Schizosaccharomyces pombe: one gene and its partner. The gene in region 2 interacts genetically with the main gene of each other region. Each region holds a gene or a part of one and is shown on either strand. Other genes may lie near its edges.

What was found. A genetic interaction does not mean that the proteins touch.
Region 1: mutations in dsk2 (region 2) and rpn10 are lethal when combined (synthetic lethality), as found in Schizosaccharomyces pombe (one study listed by BioGRID).

Annotation. Positions count from the first base shown.
Region 1 is NC_003424.3:4,555,387-4,562,920, reverse strand, and holds rpn10 (19S proteasome regulatory subunit Rpn10), read left to right. Parts: upstream 1-4,224; 5' UTR 4,225-4,284; coding exon 4,285-4,310; intron 4,311-4,352; coding exon 4,353-4,499; intron 4,500-4,556; exon of another isoform or gene 4,557-4,578; coding exon 4,579-4,902; exon of another isoform or gene 4,903-4,965; coding exon 4,966-5,200; 3' UTR 5,201-5,370; downstream 5,371-7,534. Other genes in the region: histone acetyltransferase, KAT5 family Mst1, read left to right, coding at 146-1,537; ATP-dependent RNA helicase Rpm2, read right to left, coding at 1,685-3,628; rex1 (putative ribonuclease H70), read right to left, coding at 5,627-7,498. UniProt on the Schizosaccharomyces pombe protein: Protects ubiquitin chains against dissambly by deubiquitinating enzymes thereby promoting protein degradation.
Region 2 is NC_003424.3:3,367,983-3,376,062, forward strand, and holds dsk2 (UBA domain protein Dph1/Dsk2), read left to right. Parts: upstream 1-1,744; 5' UTR 1,745-1,760; coding exon 1,761-2,825; 3' UTR 2,826-3,402; downstream 3,403-8,080. Other genes in the region: nucleoporin Nsp1, read right to left, coding at 1-1,467, 1,534-1,537; rmt2 (N-methyltransferase), read right to left, coding at 3,427-4,500; SPOM_SPAC8E11.10 (sorbose reductase), read right to left, coding at 5,235-6,002; SPOM_SPAC8E11.12 (uncharacterized protein), read left to right, coding at 6,714-7,022; SPOM_SPAC8E11.08C (uncharacterized protein), read left to right, coding at 7,534-7,836. UniProt on the Schizosaccharomyces pombe protein: Protects ubiquitin chains against dissambly by deubiquitinating enzymes thereby promoting protein degradation.

The DNA.
Region 1 (7,534 bases), 1.2 Mb from region 2:
AAGTTCACAAAAAACATACCGACATTTAACGAATCGGTAAAGAAATGTTTTCGAAACTAGCAAAACTCACCACCATGAAAAAAAAATTTTCAGGGTGGCTACACAATTTGTACATGGAATAAGTATCCACTTATTGAGACTCAAGATGTCGAATGATGTTGATGATGAGTCCAAGATTGAAACAAAGTCTTATGAGGCTAAAGACATAGTTTATAAATCCAAAGTCTTTGCATTTAAGGATGGAGAATATCGAAAGGCGGAGATTTTAATGATTCAAAAAAGAACTAGAGGCGTCGTCTACTATGTACACTATAATGACTACAATAAACGTTTAGATGAATGGATTACAATAGATAATATTGATTTATCGAAAGGAATTGAGTATCCACCGCCGGAGAAGCCAAAAAAGGCTCATGGAAAAGGAAAATCCTCAAAACGTCCAAAAGCTGTTGACAGACGACGATCGATTACAGCACCTTCAAAAACTGAGCCTTCGACGCCTTCTACGGAGAAACCTGAACCATCCACCCCTTCTGGAGAAAGTGATCATGGATCAAATGCCGGGAATGAAAGTTTACCGTTATTGGAGGAAGACCACAAGCCCGAAAGTCTTTCAAAAGAACAAGAAGTAGAAAGGTTACGGTTCAGTGGCTCAATGGTTCAAAATCCTCACGAAATAGCTCGAATTCGTAATATAAACAAAATTTGCATAGGAGATCATGAAATTGAACCTTGGTACTTCTCACCGTACCCTAAAGAATTTTCGGAAGTAGATATAGTTTATATTTGCAGTTTTTGTTTCTGCTATTACGGATCTGAGCGACAATTTCAAAGACACCGCGAAAAATGTACATTGCAGCATCCACCCGGAAATGAAATATACCGTGATGACTATATATCCTTTTTTGAAATTGATGGAAGAAAGCAACGTACATGGTGTAGGAATATTTGTCTTTTGTCCAAACTTTTTCTGGATCACAAAATGCTTTACTATGATGTTGATCCCTTTTTGTTTTACTGTATGTGTCGCCGCGATGAATATGGATGTCACTTGGTAGGATATTTCTCAAAAGAAAAAGAGTCCTCCGAAAATTACAACCTTGCTTGTATCTTAACTTTACCTCAATACCAAAGACATGGTTATGGCAAGTTACTCATACAATTTTCTTATGAATTGACCAAGCGTGAGCACAAACACGGCTCACCTGAAAAACCACTTTCTGATTTGGGGTTGATTAGTTATCGAGCGTATTGGGCTGAACAAATCATCAACCTTGTGCTTGGAATGCGAACTGAAACCACTATTGACGAATTAGCCAACAAAACTTCAATGACTACTAATGATGTGCTACATACACTTCAAGCACTAAATATGCTTAAATATTACAAAGGTCAATTTATTATCTGTATTTCAGATGGAATTGAGCAACAATACGAAAGATTGAAGAACAAAAAAAGAAGAAGGATCAATGGAGATTTGTTGGCAGATTGGCAACCTCCTGTTTTTCACCCTTCCCAACTACGATTTGGATGGTAATTCTGTACAAAGAATGGATTAGATGCTGGTCGTCTTTCTTAAAAAAAAAAAAAATTCTCATAATTAAAGTATCTCCTAGATATATATTAATGATACTTAAAGTTTGAAGGAATAGAGACTAATTTGTAACCTTTTATTTCATTTTAGTTACTTTTGTAATTTCGATATTCCTTTGATTAGAAAAGCCTCTGCTATTGCCTTGGTTTTTTCGGCTGCTCCATTTTGCAGGATAGCTGGATATCGTATACTAGCCCACATGTATGCTACTATTAATTTGTGAAGCTGCTCTAGTTGTTGTAACTCGGTTTCAGTGGTTGGAATTCCGCGTTCTAATATTTCCAAAGGTACAGACTTCAAATCATATATTTGCAGACGTTTTCCTTGAGCGATAACACATCCGATTTCCCGAATAAATAGTGGTGCGTATTTAGAATGCTTTAACACTGGGCACCCTAACAATTTGATTTTATCTTTAATGGTTAAACCTTTTATGTGGTCTAAATATTCAATAATGAATGTGCTTAGTGCTCCTTCCGACACAACAAATGGAGTAGTCGTTTTCGCTAACTTAAAGTAACGATCGAAAATTAGCTTTTGAGGAATGTCATCAGAGAATAGTGATAAATATCTAAAGAATAAATCGTCCTTAGCTCCAATACAAGCATTGAATAAGTTCTTTGTAGGAAGATTCATGGCGCGATTTAATTTCGCAAAATCTTTTTGATATAGGGTAGTTACTATTCCAGCACTTTGCTTAGATCCATTGGGATTATGTCGGCCAGCTCTTCCTGCTATCTGCTTAATTTGTGGTACAGGGATGTCTATAGTGGAAACTCCACTAAACTTTTTTAAATCGCTGAAAACAATACGCTTTACGCCTAAGTTGAGACCCATACCAATGGCATCGGAGGCCAGCAAAATATTTTCATCAGAACTCTTTGAATTAAATAAGCTTGCTTGTTGATTACGGACTTCAGGAGGCAGTGAACCATAAATAACGGCAGATTTTTTTCCTAATGCTTGATCAATTTTAGACTTCAAAGTAAAAATGTTTTTCCTTGAAAAAGCCACAACACAATCCCCGTCTTTGAGTTCACTTAACTTTCCATTTAAGCTCTTTTCTGCAACGTGGAGAGGATTTAACCGTTCGTATCTGTAAACAGTAAAATCATCTTGGGTCATTTTAGCAATTGAACGCACTAATTTAACAACACTTTCTTCTCCGCATAAATGAATTTCCTTAGCCTGCAAGCCAAGCAAGCATTGAGTCCAAGCATATCCCCGTGAAGGATCAGCCATCATTTGGATTTCATCAATGACTGCAACATCAAAAGTAGTAGATAAGTTGCACATTTCTACAGTACATGAAACAACCTGAGGGAAAGGATAATCATTTCTAATCTCTTCCCCTGTGTAAAGATTACAAGCTATTCCGTTTGCTTGCAAGCGATTATAGATTTCGTGAGCCAAAAGTCTTAAAGGGCCAGCAAATATACCTTTCTTGCAAGTCTTAAGTCTTTCTAAAGCCCTATGTGTTTTCCCGCTATTCGTTGGGCCGACATGCATAATGATATGCCTTCTGAGTTTTCTCGCTCCTGGATACCACTCAATTGGATTTTTTAAATCTGTTAATTGCTTTTGTAAGTCAGGTCTTGTTTCTTCTATTCGCTCTTGATATCGTACATACTTCCGATACTCTGAGAGTAAACAATCATGGATCTTTTTTATTTTCTGAAGGTCAAAAGTAGAAGAAGATTTTGAAAGAGCCAATGATTTATCAGAGTTTTTTAAGTCAGAAAATCCTAAATCTGTAAGGATATTCTTTTTTAACTCATAATAGTATACATTCTGAAAGACACTGGCATCCTTGCAGACATTGACAAAGTCTTGGGCTAAGTATGCTTGTTTTGACGAAAGTTCTTTGGAAGCAAATAAATATGCAGTGAAGCGATTGAGGGCAGCAGCCCACAAGGTATTTCCTGGGAATTTCCTTTGTTGAAAAACATCCTTTGATAAAGTGTGAATTCTAGCAGACTTGCTAAAAAACGGTACACAAAACGTTACGCCATGAATCAAAGTTTCCAAAAACATTCCTGGCGAGTTAAAATCTTTCTAGCAATGCTCTATTGCTGGCCGCCCTGTAACCAGAGCAAAACTTAATCCAAGTATTTAAAGTAATTTAAAAACAAGAAATGTTTATATAGAAAATTAAATACTTCTCAAACGTCTGAAGGTCCCTGGCTTTATCGCTTTTAAAAATATTACCTTCTATTAATTAAAAAAGGAAAAAAAAAGTAATAATTTGACTACGAGATTCAGTCAAGTTGCCTGCTGAGGCCTCTAATATGTTATACCAACAGCTCTGCATGTATCTCCAAAAAATTAGTATCTCAGCAGTACCCTTTAAATTCCAGTTTTCCGCTTCAGTAAATATATAAAATTTTTTAAAAAGCGTTTATTACCTACACTTGTATTATAACAATTTCACGCATTTGGTGTTGGCTTTCGATTATTTACGCGTGCTGTAAGAAATTAGAGAACCTGTGGATTCGAACAGGAAATGAATTGTGTATCACCATGTTTTTCGATGTTTCATTTTGTGATGCGTTACATATCGTTATCCGAGAATGACTAGAGAAGGTGAGTAGTAATACCTTGTCTAGTTCACTTTGCAACACATCTTCTGTAATCTACCAAGCGTTCTTTCAAATTTCTTCGCATTAAGTTTTAAATTATAGGTCTTCAAGATGGTGTTAGAAGCAACGATGATTCTGTAAGAATTTATTTTTGTTAAATTATTGCTCTAACATGGCAGAATTGATAATTCAGAATGGATGATTAATGGTGATTATATACCTACGAGGTTTGAAGCTCAAAAGGATACTGTACATATGATTTTCAATCAAAAGATCAATGATAATCCGGAGAACATGTGTGGTTTAATGACAATTGGTGATAATAGGTATATGATTAATATTACGGCTTGAACGGTACTTTATGTTCAGCTATAAAATACTTTACAGAAATTCTAATCATATTAGTCCCCAAGTTCTTTCTACATTAACCAGAGATTATGGTAAATTCTTATCTGCAATGCACGACCTGCCTGTCCGAGGAAACGCAAAGTTTGGCGATGGTATACAGATTGCGCAGTTAGCCTTAAAGCATAGAGAAAACAAAATTCAACGTCAAAGAATTGTTGCATTTGTAGGTTCTCCTATTGTTGAGGACGAGAAAAATCTTATTCGTCTAGCCAAGCGTATGAAAAAGAATAATGTTGCTATTGATATCATTCACATTGGTGAGCTTCAGAATGAATCAGCTTTGCAGCATTTCATTGACGCTGCTAATTCAAGTGACAGTTGGTAAGTCTACGGATTTTTCGGACATTTTTGGCTTCTTTTTTTTACTAGTATTAACAATTTTAGTCATCTTGTCAGCATTCCACCTAGCCCGCAGTTACTTTCAGATTTGGTAAATCAATCCCCTATTGGACAAGGTGTAGTTGCTTCTCAAAACCAATTTGAGTATGGAGTCGATCCTAATCTTGACGTTGAATTGGCGTTAGCCTTGGAACTTTCAATGGCGGAGGAACGAGCACGTCAAGAAGTTGCTGCTCAAAAATCATCTGAAGAAACTGAGGATAAAAAAATGCAAGAATGATCCGAAGATGTCTACGATTCCTTATCCTTATGAAAGACAAATTAACGTTCTTGTACTTTACTAGCCATGCTTTATGCAGCAACGTTTAAATTAGATTGAATCCTAAAAATCATGATTTTTCAAAATATATCCAAAATAATAAATTGGCAGCATTTTGTTTCATTTTCGTAATTAGCATTGTAGAAAAGGTTAGCGCATTCTAGAAACACATTACTAGAAGGAAAGGTATTAATCTACAATCAAGGTAGCGTTAGTGGCATCCAATAATAAAAACGCCCCTAATATACGTGTCTGACTAGCTGTTTACCTTTCTTAATTTCAACATATACATAAACCAAAACAATTGTTTTCTTCAACTATCTATTATGACCAATAAAATGCAGACCCTTTACCCAAAATTTACTTGATCGCAATATAAAAACACACTTATTTGATCGTCATAAAAGACAATCCATTCCTTGTGTTTTCAACAGCAGATATATATTTCATATTTTCTTCATCAGTCCATTTTACTGATAGCTCATCCCATTTTTTGGTCTGGTATTCTTTTCTAAATTGTTGGCGAATAGCGTTTAATTTTGACATTTCGATGGGATTTCCAGTACCAGTATACAAAAGCAATAGAGAACCTTTTGGTAAGGAGTCGTATAAAAGACGAATTCTTCGATTAAAACGCTCTAAAGCAGAAGAATAGCTAGTTACTTGGTCCTCTTCTACCGAATCATTCTCTGTATCAGTATCAGAGTTGTTTTCTTGTTTTGTATTTCGATTAGCGTTCCACATAGCCGCATGCTCCAATTCGCGAAAACGACCCCACACGAAGTTATGCATGTCTGAAAGACTTACAACAGCGCTTACGACTTCATCATCATTCGCACAAGAAACGCTTTTATGAGCCGCTTTGCCAATGCACGACTCCGGATTACCATAGTCGGCAATTGCACCAATCAATGGAGTTGGCTGCTGTCGTGACAATCTATGAAAGATTGACTCAAAGTCTTGGTTAAACAACCCAAAGGCAGGTCCATTCTTAACTTTCAACTTTAGAAGATCCACACAAGCAAGAGCATCTTCTGCAGAATCGTGCCCCAGAGCTCCCGCTTTTTGTATCTCACGCCTCAACCACTTCGTTGCAAGCCATTTAAGCGATGGTTTTGAAGGGGGACCACGAGTGTGATTATAAATGTTTGCCGTATCAATGATATGAGGGTGTGTAAATTTTAAGCAATTAAGATCAGAATTTAGACTATGGCCTAAAAGAACGGTATTGTTGTCCACAGTCTTTTTTAAGTAAGATTGAACATCGGAAAGAACAGTAGTAACATTTCTCAGTTTTTCTTCAGTTATGCCAGAATACTGGGTAACATAATCAGTGACGGGTGATTCTGGTTTTACAAATTCGTCGTAAATAACCTCACTTTTCATGTCTACAATAGTTACTCTGGCTATTTCTAACCCGTTCTCAGTCCGCACCATTTCGCAATCAATAGCAAGAATTTTGGGATTTATAGGAGGAGAATGAAAATCTCCTGCAGAAGCAACCCATCCTGAAGGCTGAGTAACCTCTTCACCCTTCATGACAGTAGGATGTAATGGGTATTCGTCTTCAATGAAAGATTCATAACTCATTAAGTAATCAGATGGTTTGGAAAAACTAGCCATAGCACGTGTTTCTTTATCTCTTTTCTTCTTTTGTTCATTACTCAGAGGAGATTGCAAAAAGGCATTCACCGGAGAAAAGACACGAAATCGATCTCCAGGAGATCTCGTAGGCCATGCGCGATCAAACACTTCACAAAAATCAGGTAATTGAATGGGGCCATTTTCATTTAGCAAATTCGGCAGCAAAAATGAGTGCTTGTTGCCGCGCACGGGTTGAAACCCAAATTGACTAGGCTCCAATCCAGGAACTAAAAGTATCACTGCTCTATGAATCATTTGTTTATTTCTCACTAGAACCCATGAAGGAGCCTGTCCATCAGCTAAACACCAGAATACAAGCTCTTGTAGGTCGCTAATTTTTAGGGGTTTTTGAAGATTGTTTTCCGTAGTTTGCAATCTAGGGTAATTTTCTTCATTTAGCGGTTGCTGAGATTTTTTTAACTTTTTCTTTTTCTTTTTTTTACTCTGAGAGTCGTCATTAGAGTCTGGTGAATCTTTCACTCCATCATTTGAACCATCCATACTTAGGTCTTCTTTTTTTCGCTTCACTTTCCTTTTTTCTCCGTGTGAAGCAACATTCTTTGACTTTTTTTCAATGGAGTCTTCTTGGGTTATCCCATCCTGAAGTTCACCCATGCTTGAGGATCCCATCTTTGACATTTTTTATTTTGG
Region 2 (8,080 bases):
GGCTGGAAGATACATATTCCAATCCGTCATCAATGCGGTTTGACATCTGTTCTGCTTCAACAGTTTCAGTGTATAATTTCGATATTAAAGCACCATTGTCTACTAAAGTTCTATCCCAGTCAGAAACCTGGTCACAAAGCTTATTAAAAACTTCAGTTTGCGTAGTCAAATCAGTAGACCATTTATTAAGGATTTCCTGAAGAGTTTTGTGTTTGATAGAAGATGGAGGAGGCTCAGAAGGAGTAGTGGAGGCAGTAGCGCCCGGCTTGGCGCTGGGATCGGCAGGTTTATTACCAAAAAGGGGACCGGTTTTTGAAGTAGATGTTGTAGTATCAGTTGCAGGTTTACCAAATGAAAATCCAGAGCTAGTCTGATTCGCACCTTCTGCAGGTTTCGTATTGTTCGAAAGTGGCGGAGCTGAAGTTGCTGTTGTGCTAGTATTTTCCGTAGGTTTTGAAGTGTTTCCAAAAGAAAATGTTGGCTTATTATCACCAGTTGAAGTAGCCGGTTTTGTAAAAGCTGAGTTGGGAGCAGTAGGTTTATTAGTATCCTCTGTAGTTGCAGGTTTTCCAAAACTAAATCCAGTACCAGCTGAAGATGTGGTGGTAGTACCTTTGTCCGTTGCGGTTGAAGCTGCTTGGCCCGCAGGCTTACCAAAAGAGAAACCAGTAGTTGGAGCAGAACCAGTGTTAGATGCAGCAGGCTTTGAGTCATTGGTTCCCGTAATGGAGCTACTGGGGGTGACAGTAGTGTTAGATCCTGGAGCTGAAGTAGTTGCAGGCTTTCCGAAGCTAAAGCCTGAATTAGCAGTGGTTGAAGTGGATGCATTATTAGTAGAGCCTAAACTAGCAGGTTTTCCAAAGCTAAAACCTCCGCTTCCAGTAGCAGGTGTCGTAGAAGTAGAAGAAGCTGGAGGGGCATTGCTTGTAGTCCCTGTAGCAGCAGGCTTCCCAAACAAAGAACCAGTACTAGCGGCTGCCGGAGTCGTCGTATTAGTCGTAGAAGCGGGTTTACCGAAATTAAAAGAATTATTTGAACTTCCAAAATTAAAAGTACTACCTGAAGGATTAGTAGTTGCTGCACCTGTAGCAGAAGAAGCGGTGTTTTTACTTTTATCACCAGTAGAGTTAGCAGACCCGGTACTTCCTAAACCTCCGAAAAGAGGTTTAGCCCCAGCAGTATTGTTGGTATTAGTAGACCCAAACGAAAAAGGTGAACTCGTTGATGCATTTGTTGAGTTGCCTGTAGTCGCTGCTTTACCAAAAGAAAAGGTACTGGGAGCACTGGTGTTACTCGCGTTATTAGAACCAAATAAGCCTCCAGACGGCGCTGTAGAAGAGGTATTATTATTTGTGTTTCCAAACAAGCCAGTCGCCGCAGGAGTTGCTGCTCCTTGCGCAGCTGAATTCGGCTGCGCAGGTTTCCCAAATGAAAACCCTGAATTCTGGTTATTACCTGGGTTGAAAGCTATTGATTTTGTTAGCAAATTTTAATAAATTCCAAGGGACCAGCTTTGCCGCCTCTTACACTTACACATTGATTTGGGTCTTGCTGAAAGTTGTATCAGGACAGTGAAATGTTTATGGCGTTCGGTCACAACTCGGTGAATTCGGAGACGTCGGTAACCAAAACGGAGAACTGGGTCACCATTCGGAGTTTTTGGGACCTGAAGAAAGGGTCCACTGAAGCTCACCGAAGATACTTCTTTTACATAAGAGCGTCATCGAACGAGTGGAAAATACCTAACCAAACCCAACAACATGACCAATATATCGTTGACTATTAAGGCGGCAAATGATCAAAAGTACGCAGTTACAGTTGATAGTGAATCTTCTGTACTTGCATTAAAGGAAGCCATTGCGCCTGTAGCTGATATAGAGAAGGAACGACAAAGACTGATTTACGCTGGTCGCGTTCTGAAAGATGAAGAGTCATTAAAAACATACAAAATTCAAGATGGACATAGTATACATTTGGTAAAAACCTTAGGACAAAATCCTGCAGCCGCCGCCACGAATGTATCGGACCGCACTCAACAAGTTCCAACGAATATTCAAGCAGGTCAGGGTGCTAATAATCCTCTTGCCAATTTAACTAGCGCTCGTTACGCTGGATTTAATATCCCTATGCCATCAGCATCTATGTTTGGTCCTAATCCTGAGAATCCTGTTCCACCCTCGACCGAAGAGCTTGCCAATATGTTGTCTAATCCTATGGTGCAGTCTTCTATTAATGAGATGTTTTCAAATCCTCAAATGTTGGATATGATTATTAATAGCAGCCCGCATCTTCGTAATGCACCTCCTTATGTCCGTCAAATGATGCAGTCCCCTGAGTTCCGTCGCGCGATGACTGATCCCGACACAATGCGCCAAATGGCTCAACTACATCAACAAATGGGTGCTGCCGGTATTGACCCTATGTCCTTAATGGGGGGTGGTCTAGGAGGAGCTGGCTTAGGCGGTTTAGGTGGAGCTGGTTTAGGTGGATTTGGAGGGGCTAATAATGCTACAGCTGGTATTGCAGGTGCCGCACCTGTTGATCAAACTGCTGCTGCCAACACCATTCAAAATTTATTAAATAACTTGGGAGGAGCTGGCTTCGGTGCTGGTTTGGGAGACGCCGGTTTGGGAGCTGGCCTTGGGGGAGCTGCCTCTCCTCCAGCTCCTGCTCAAGATACTCGCCCTCCAGAAGAGCGTTATGCTGAGCAATTGAGCCAGCTTAATGAAATGGGCTTTGTGGATTTCGAGCGTAACGTTCAAGCACTAAGAAGAAGTGGAGGAAACGTGCAAGGTGCTATTGAATCTTTGTTGAGTGATCTTTAATTCCTTTGTTCGTTTCTAGAATATATCAATCAGGCTTATTGGTGTTCATATATTTCAAGGATAATACCCTTTGTATCAAGACTTCCCTCTTCCCTTTTTCCTTTTGTAATAAAATTTATACGGCCCAATCTTTTGGTGATATTTAGATTATTATGCCATGCTTGCAAGTTTTGCCAGATTTACCTGAACAAGACTTTTAGTGACTTTACCTGGAAAGTCATCGTACTCTGTTTTATCGCGATGATCATATTAATCGATTTGAATGAATATGTTTAGTCGTTTAATTTAAGTACGATGACGAATTCTATATATGCTTCTCCTAGATAGAAAGCTTACTTGTTGTGTAAAAATAAGTTTTTTCTAAATTGTCAGTTTACTTACGCTTCAGTGATTTATAATGTTCAATAAACGATAGCAGTTTTAAGATACTAAAAAAAAAGAAAAATACGTCTGTTTAACATTACAACTTAATTATGCTTATGAAAGTTGAATTTCAAATAATAAAATGATATAGACAAAATTGTATTAAGATAGTTTATCCTTAGTCCCAAAAACTAAATTCCAAAGTTCCGTCCGATGACAAGCGTATAGTTCAGCAAGTTTAAAAATCAAAAGTGACAATGGGCAAGAAATACTTTGAAACATCCCAGTATCGACGCTTTGCGCCTTTCCATTCCTCGTCTTTACTACTTACGGGCATGGATTCGTATGTACATTGAAGCCCGAACGATACAAGATCGATGGGGACCAATTTTTTGTAAACATCGTAAAATGTTTGGTTGTCGGCGCCCAATCCGTTAAAAAAGGAGAACTTGGAATCTGTTTCAGGATCTAAGAGACCAACAACTGAATCAAAGAAGTTTCGAAGATCTTCGTAGCTTTCTGCGAAAGCATCATAGTAGATGCCATCGAAAACGTATTTAGACGCAATGTCGTTAATAGCGTTCTCCCAAGTTGTCTCATATACAATCACATTTTCACGATCCATCCAACCGTTTTTACGCATATGTTTCAGAACGTCCGGATGGGGCTCAATGATCACATGAAGCGAAGGCTCCTTTTCCTGAAGGAACGTATCTATTATTCCAAGACCAAAGCCGACATTCAAAACACGGCGGCCCTTGGTTGGTGCAATAATTTCAGCAGAACGATGCATTATTTTTCGTTCCCAACTCATCATAACAGCGTTTGCATCACTATCCAAAAGGCTTGAACTGTCTTCTGTAGGTTGCGTATAGGAGAGTGCACTTTGCAAGTATTTTTCGTTAGTATCCAATTGTTCGTTTGTAAGTTCCTTCCTCTCTAAGAGAGAAAGTAATAGCTCTGATCGAACTCCAGCATCCACGATTGTTTCGTACAAGCGCAATAAATTCCTACGACGTGCAATGCATCCAGGAGTTTCGTTAGCTCTATCAATACCATTCCAGACTCCACCATTAGAAAGGATCCATTTCGTTACTTCAATAGCTTGAACCTCTGTCTCCTTCTCAGCGTATGAGGCTATAAAATGTAAAGCATTTTTGCCAGACTCGATATCGATAGCTGAAGTAACTGCCCCCTGATCCACTAGATTTTGAATTTTTTTTAAATCTAGTTGTTTGGAGGCTTCCAAGAGACTTAAGGACTCTTGAGATTCTTGGAATTCCACCGATTCATTCACTAGTGGAGCGTCCATTTTAATATGAAGATGGCAGGTATTTTTTACTCGTAGCTTTAAGCTGAATGCTTTGCTGGACTTAGAAATTAAGGGATTTTTTTGTTAAACAATAAGACATTTTAGATACCGTTGTAATCATTTACATAACGAAGATGAAATAAAAATAAAAAATTCTTCTTTGTTCTATCAAGTGTTTCAAAGACATAGAATGTACTCATGAGCTATAGGATAAAGAAAACTAGCAAGGAAATGGCATTAAATAATTAAAATTATTCTACCTCGATATATTGTACAAATAACCCATCTGAAACATGCAAAAAGAATAGCATACCGTTGATTTATTTTAACTTCGGCGATGTAGTATTACTAAGGTGTGCTTATGCAAGTTAGAGAAAGAAAGAGTTAGTTTATCATACACAGTGTTTATGTTAACTATAGTGATAAAACTTTTTAGATTTGTTAGATGATAATTAAAAAGCATTAGAAACTTCAAAACGACAAATCGGGAGAGGAAGCATATAGAATAGCAGTTTGTTTTAAAAAAACCAATTCAAATTACATGCTGCCATGAGTGTAGAGATCTAAGCTCCAACAACAAAATGAGTACGGTAGAGGGGAAATGTTTTAAAAATGAAACAGATCCAGAAGAAGAACCTTTTTGACGTAGCTGTTTTGGATTATAGGCTCAAGGGAGGTTCAAAAATTCAAGTTTTTAATTATGATTATAGAGGGAAATATTAATAGTAAAGAAATTAACGAGAACAGTAACCACCGTCAACAATAATGTCACTACCTGTGCAGTAGGAACTAGCATCGGAAGCAAGGTATAAGTAAGCACCGGGAAGCTCATCAGGTAGACCAATACGGGCTTGAGGAGTATACTCCTTCCATTTCTTACGCAAGTTTTCATCAGCGTACAGAGTCAAATCTGTGTCAATGTAGCCAGGAGACACGGAGTTGACACGAGCGAAAGGGGCCCACTCAACGGCAAGAGCGCGAGCCAGATGTTTGACAGCAGCCTTGGTAGCATGATAAGAAGCCCATTGTTGAGGCCAATTGGCAATGTGACCACTCATACTAGCCGTGAAGATCAAACTGCCCTTTCCTTGCTTCTTAAAATGATGGCCAGCAGCCTGTGCAGTATAATAAGCACCGTTCAGGTTTATGCCCACGACCTTGGTCCAGATGTCTTCATTCTTATCTTCCAAGGATAAGTGGGGAATCGCAATACCAGCATTAGCAATCATTACATCCAAACGACCACCCAATTCCTCAACTGCCTGGTTGGTGGTTTCAATTACAGCACTACGGTTCTCAATGGGGCAAGAATAAGCCTTGGCTTGAACACCATGTTTGTCGCGTAATTCAGCAGCATACTCAAGAGCCTTTTTGTTACGACCGTACAAAAGACCAACATTAGATCCAGCGGCAGCGAATGCTTTAGCAATCGAAAATCCGATACCGCCTGAACCACCGGTGATGAGAGTGGTTTTACCTTTAAGAGAAAACATAGAAGTCATTATGAGATATATGAAAAAAACCGAACGATGTAATAATTATTAAGAAAAAAAAAACCCCACAAAAATATTTTAGCGAACAAAAAGTGGTAGTAAAATTTATGAACACCGGTTTAATAGCTTTTGATTAGATGAAAAGCAAAAATTTTTTTCCGAAAGATTTTTAATAGTAAGAGAAGGCACTCTTGGCAACCAGAAAGAAAAATTGCTTTGTGGCAATGGACCCAAGGCTTTTATACAAAAAATTTCCTCTTTTTGACACACAGAAAGAGCAGTCCTAAATAGTGTTGTTGGAAAAAATATATGTGTAAATAAACGATTTGCAAAGGAGGAAAAAAATAGCGCAAATAGACAAAACGGTCGTTTTACTCGAGTGACACTAGTAGATCCATCAAACCGATAATATCGGGTATTGTGATGGCTGAGTGGAAAGTTTGAATGAATAACTGCGAGAAACTAGGCTACACACATAGGAGTCAAAATAGTGTAACCCGCAAAATATAGAAATCCAATTCATAAATGTGAGAATGACAATTCATTTATTATAAATTGGAAACTCATTTCATCTTTTCTTTTTTTTTCGTGAAATACTACGAGTTTCTCTTAAATCCGGGGAGAAAGTACGGATAAAATCCCATGATTAAGAAGGGGAGCGTCGGACGACAAAGGTAGCTTAAATTAACAAATGGCCAAGTGATTTTGGCCATTTGGGGTATGATTTCGCTTCTCTCGATCAAGATGCAAGCGATTAAAGAACTGGACTCGGAAGAGGAACCAAAAGTTGGCGAGTTCTATAAGGGCAACACAATTTCGTTTTGCAAAAATTCGCTTGAAAATGATACTCAATTACCTCAAATTCTCTTCTGCATTAATCCTAAATCCATCCGAAATTTTCTTTTTCCACCCATAGCAATATCAGATCCGAAAGAAGCTCAAAATCACTGTTCGTCTTACTATTATATTAAGTACCGGTATTATATTGTACAGTCAAGATGCGGGATGATGGGAAGAATGTCTTTTTAAATATTATCTAAAAAAGGTAATAGTTACATGTTAATAACTATATATATATATTTCCAGACTATACTAGTAAAGTAACGGTTGAAAAAATGTGTAAGTAGAAGAACTATTAAACTTAATTGCGTTCAGTAGTTTCTGCATGGTTTTTAACTAAAACCATGTTCGATATTGTTAACTATTAAATATACTTATTCAAAAAAAAAGAACACCAGATTCTCCTGTCACGCATCTAGGTTTCCAGTTTTTCATCTGTTCCCTCATTAACGTTCTACCAGTTGCCCGCATTGTTCCAGAAGATCAACCCAAATCTGAACGAGATGCAATAGCCTGGAGACTACCAGAGTCTTCATTTTACCCGACCGAGATCGTTTCCATGGTCGGAATCGAACACTGGAATACTTGAGACTTGGCGAAAAATGAGTATTATACAAGGGAAGAAAAGAAGAAGAAAATAAAAGGATAATTTATGTTTTACGGCAATAAAATAATGAATTAATAAGCAAGAAGTATTAAAATGGACTTTACCACTAATGAGGTTCTGTTTAGTAGGTTAGTAGTCTGTAAAAATTTGACAAGAAAAAATTTTCCGTTTCTTCAATTGAAGGGGAGCTCCATTTTAAGATTTGAATGGTCTGAAGAAATGTATAGATTGTATATATGGTTGTTACCGTACCGAAAAGACTATAATGAAAAGTTTAAGGGAATTCTAATAAATCCTTCTATTTTTCTTCTTGGCTGTCATCATGTTCAAATATGCAGTTTTCCGAACAACCTTGTATTTTTCATGGGAAAATGCGATTTGTTTCGTTTTTGTTAGCTTTGTTTGAATACCATTTTTTAACTTATGCGATACTTTCTAAACGGAGTTCACTTTTTAAATTAATCTATATCAACTGAGCCGTTCAATTCAATCCCTTTTTTTATATCAGCTTGTAAACAAACGTTTCAGGAAATGAGAAAGTTCAAAAAGCGTTAAACAGTGAATGCTTGTATGTTGAGCTTTGACTTGTTTGCAAATGTTTAATTGTCGAAATTCATCATCTGTATCTGTCCAAAGTTGT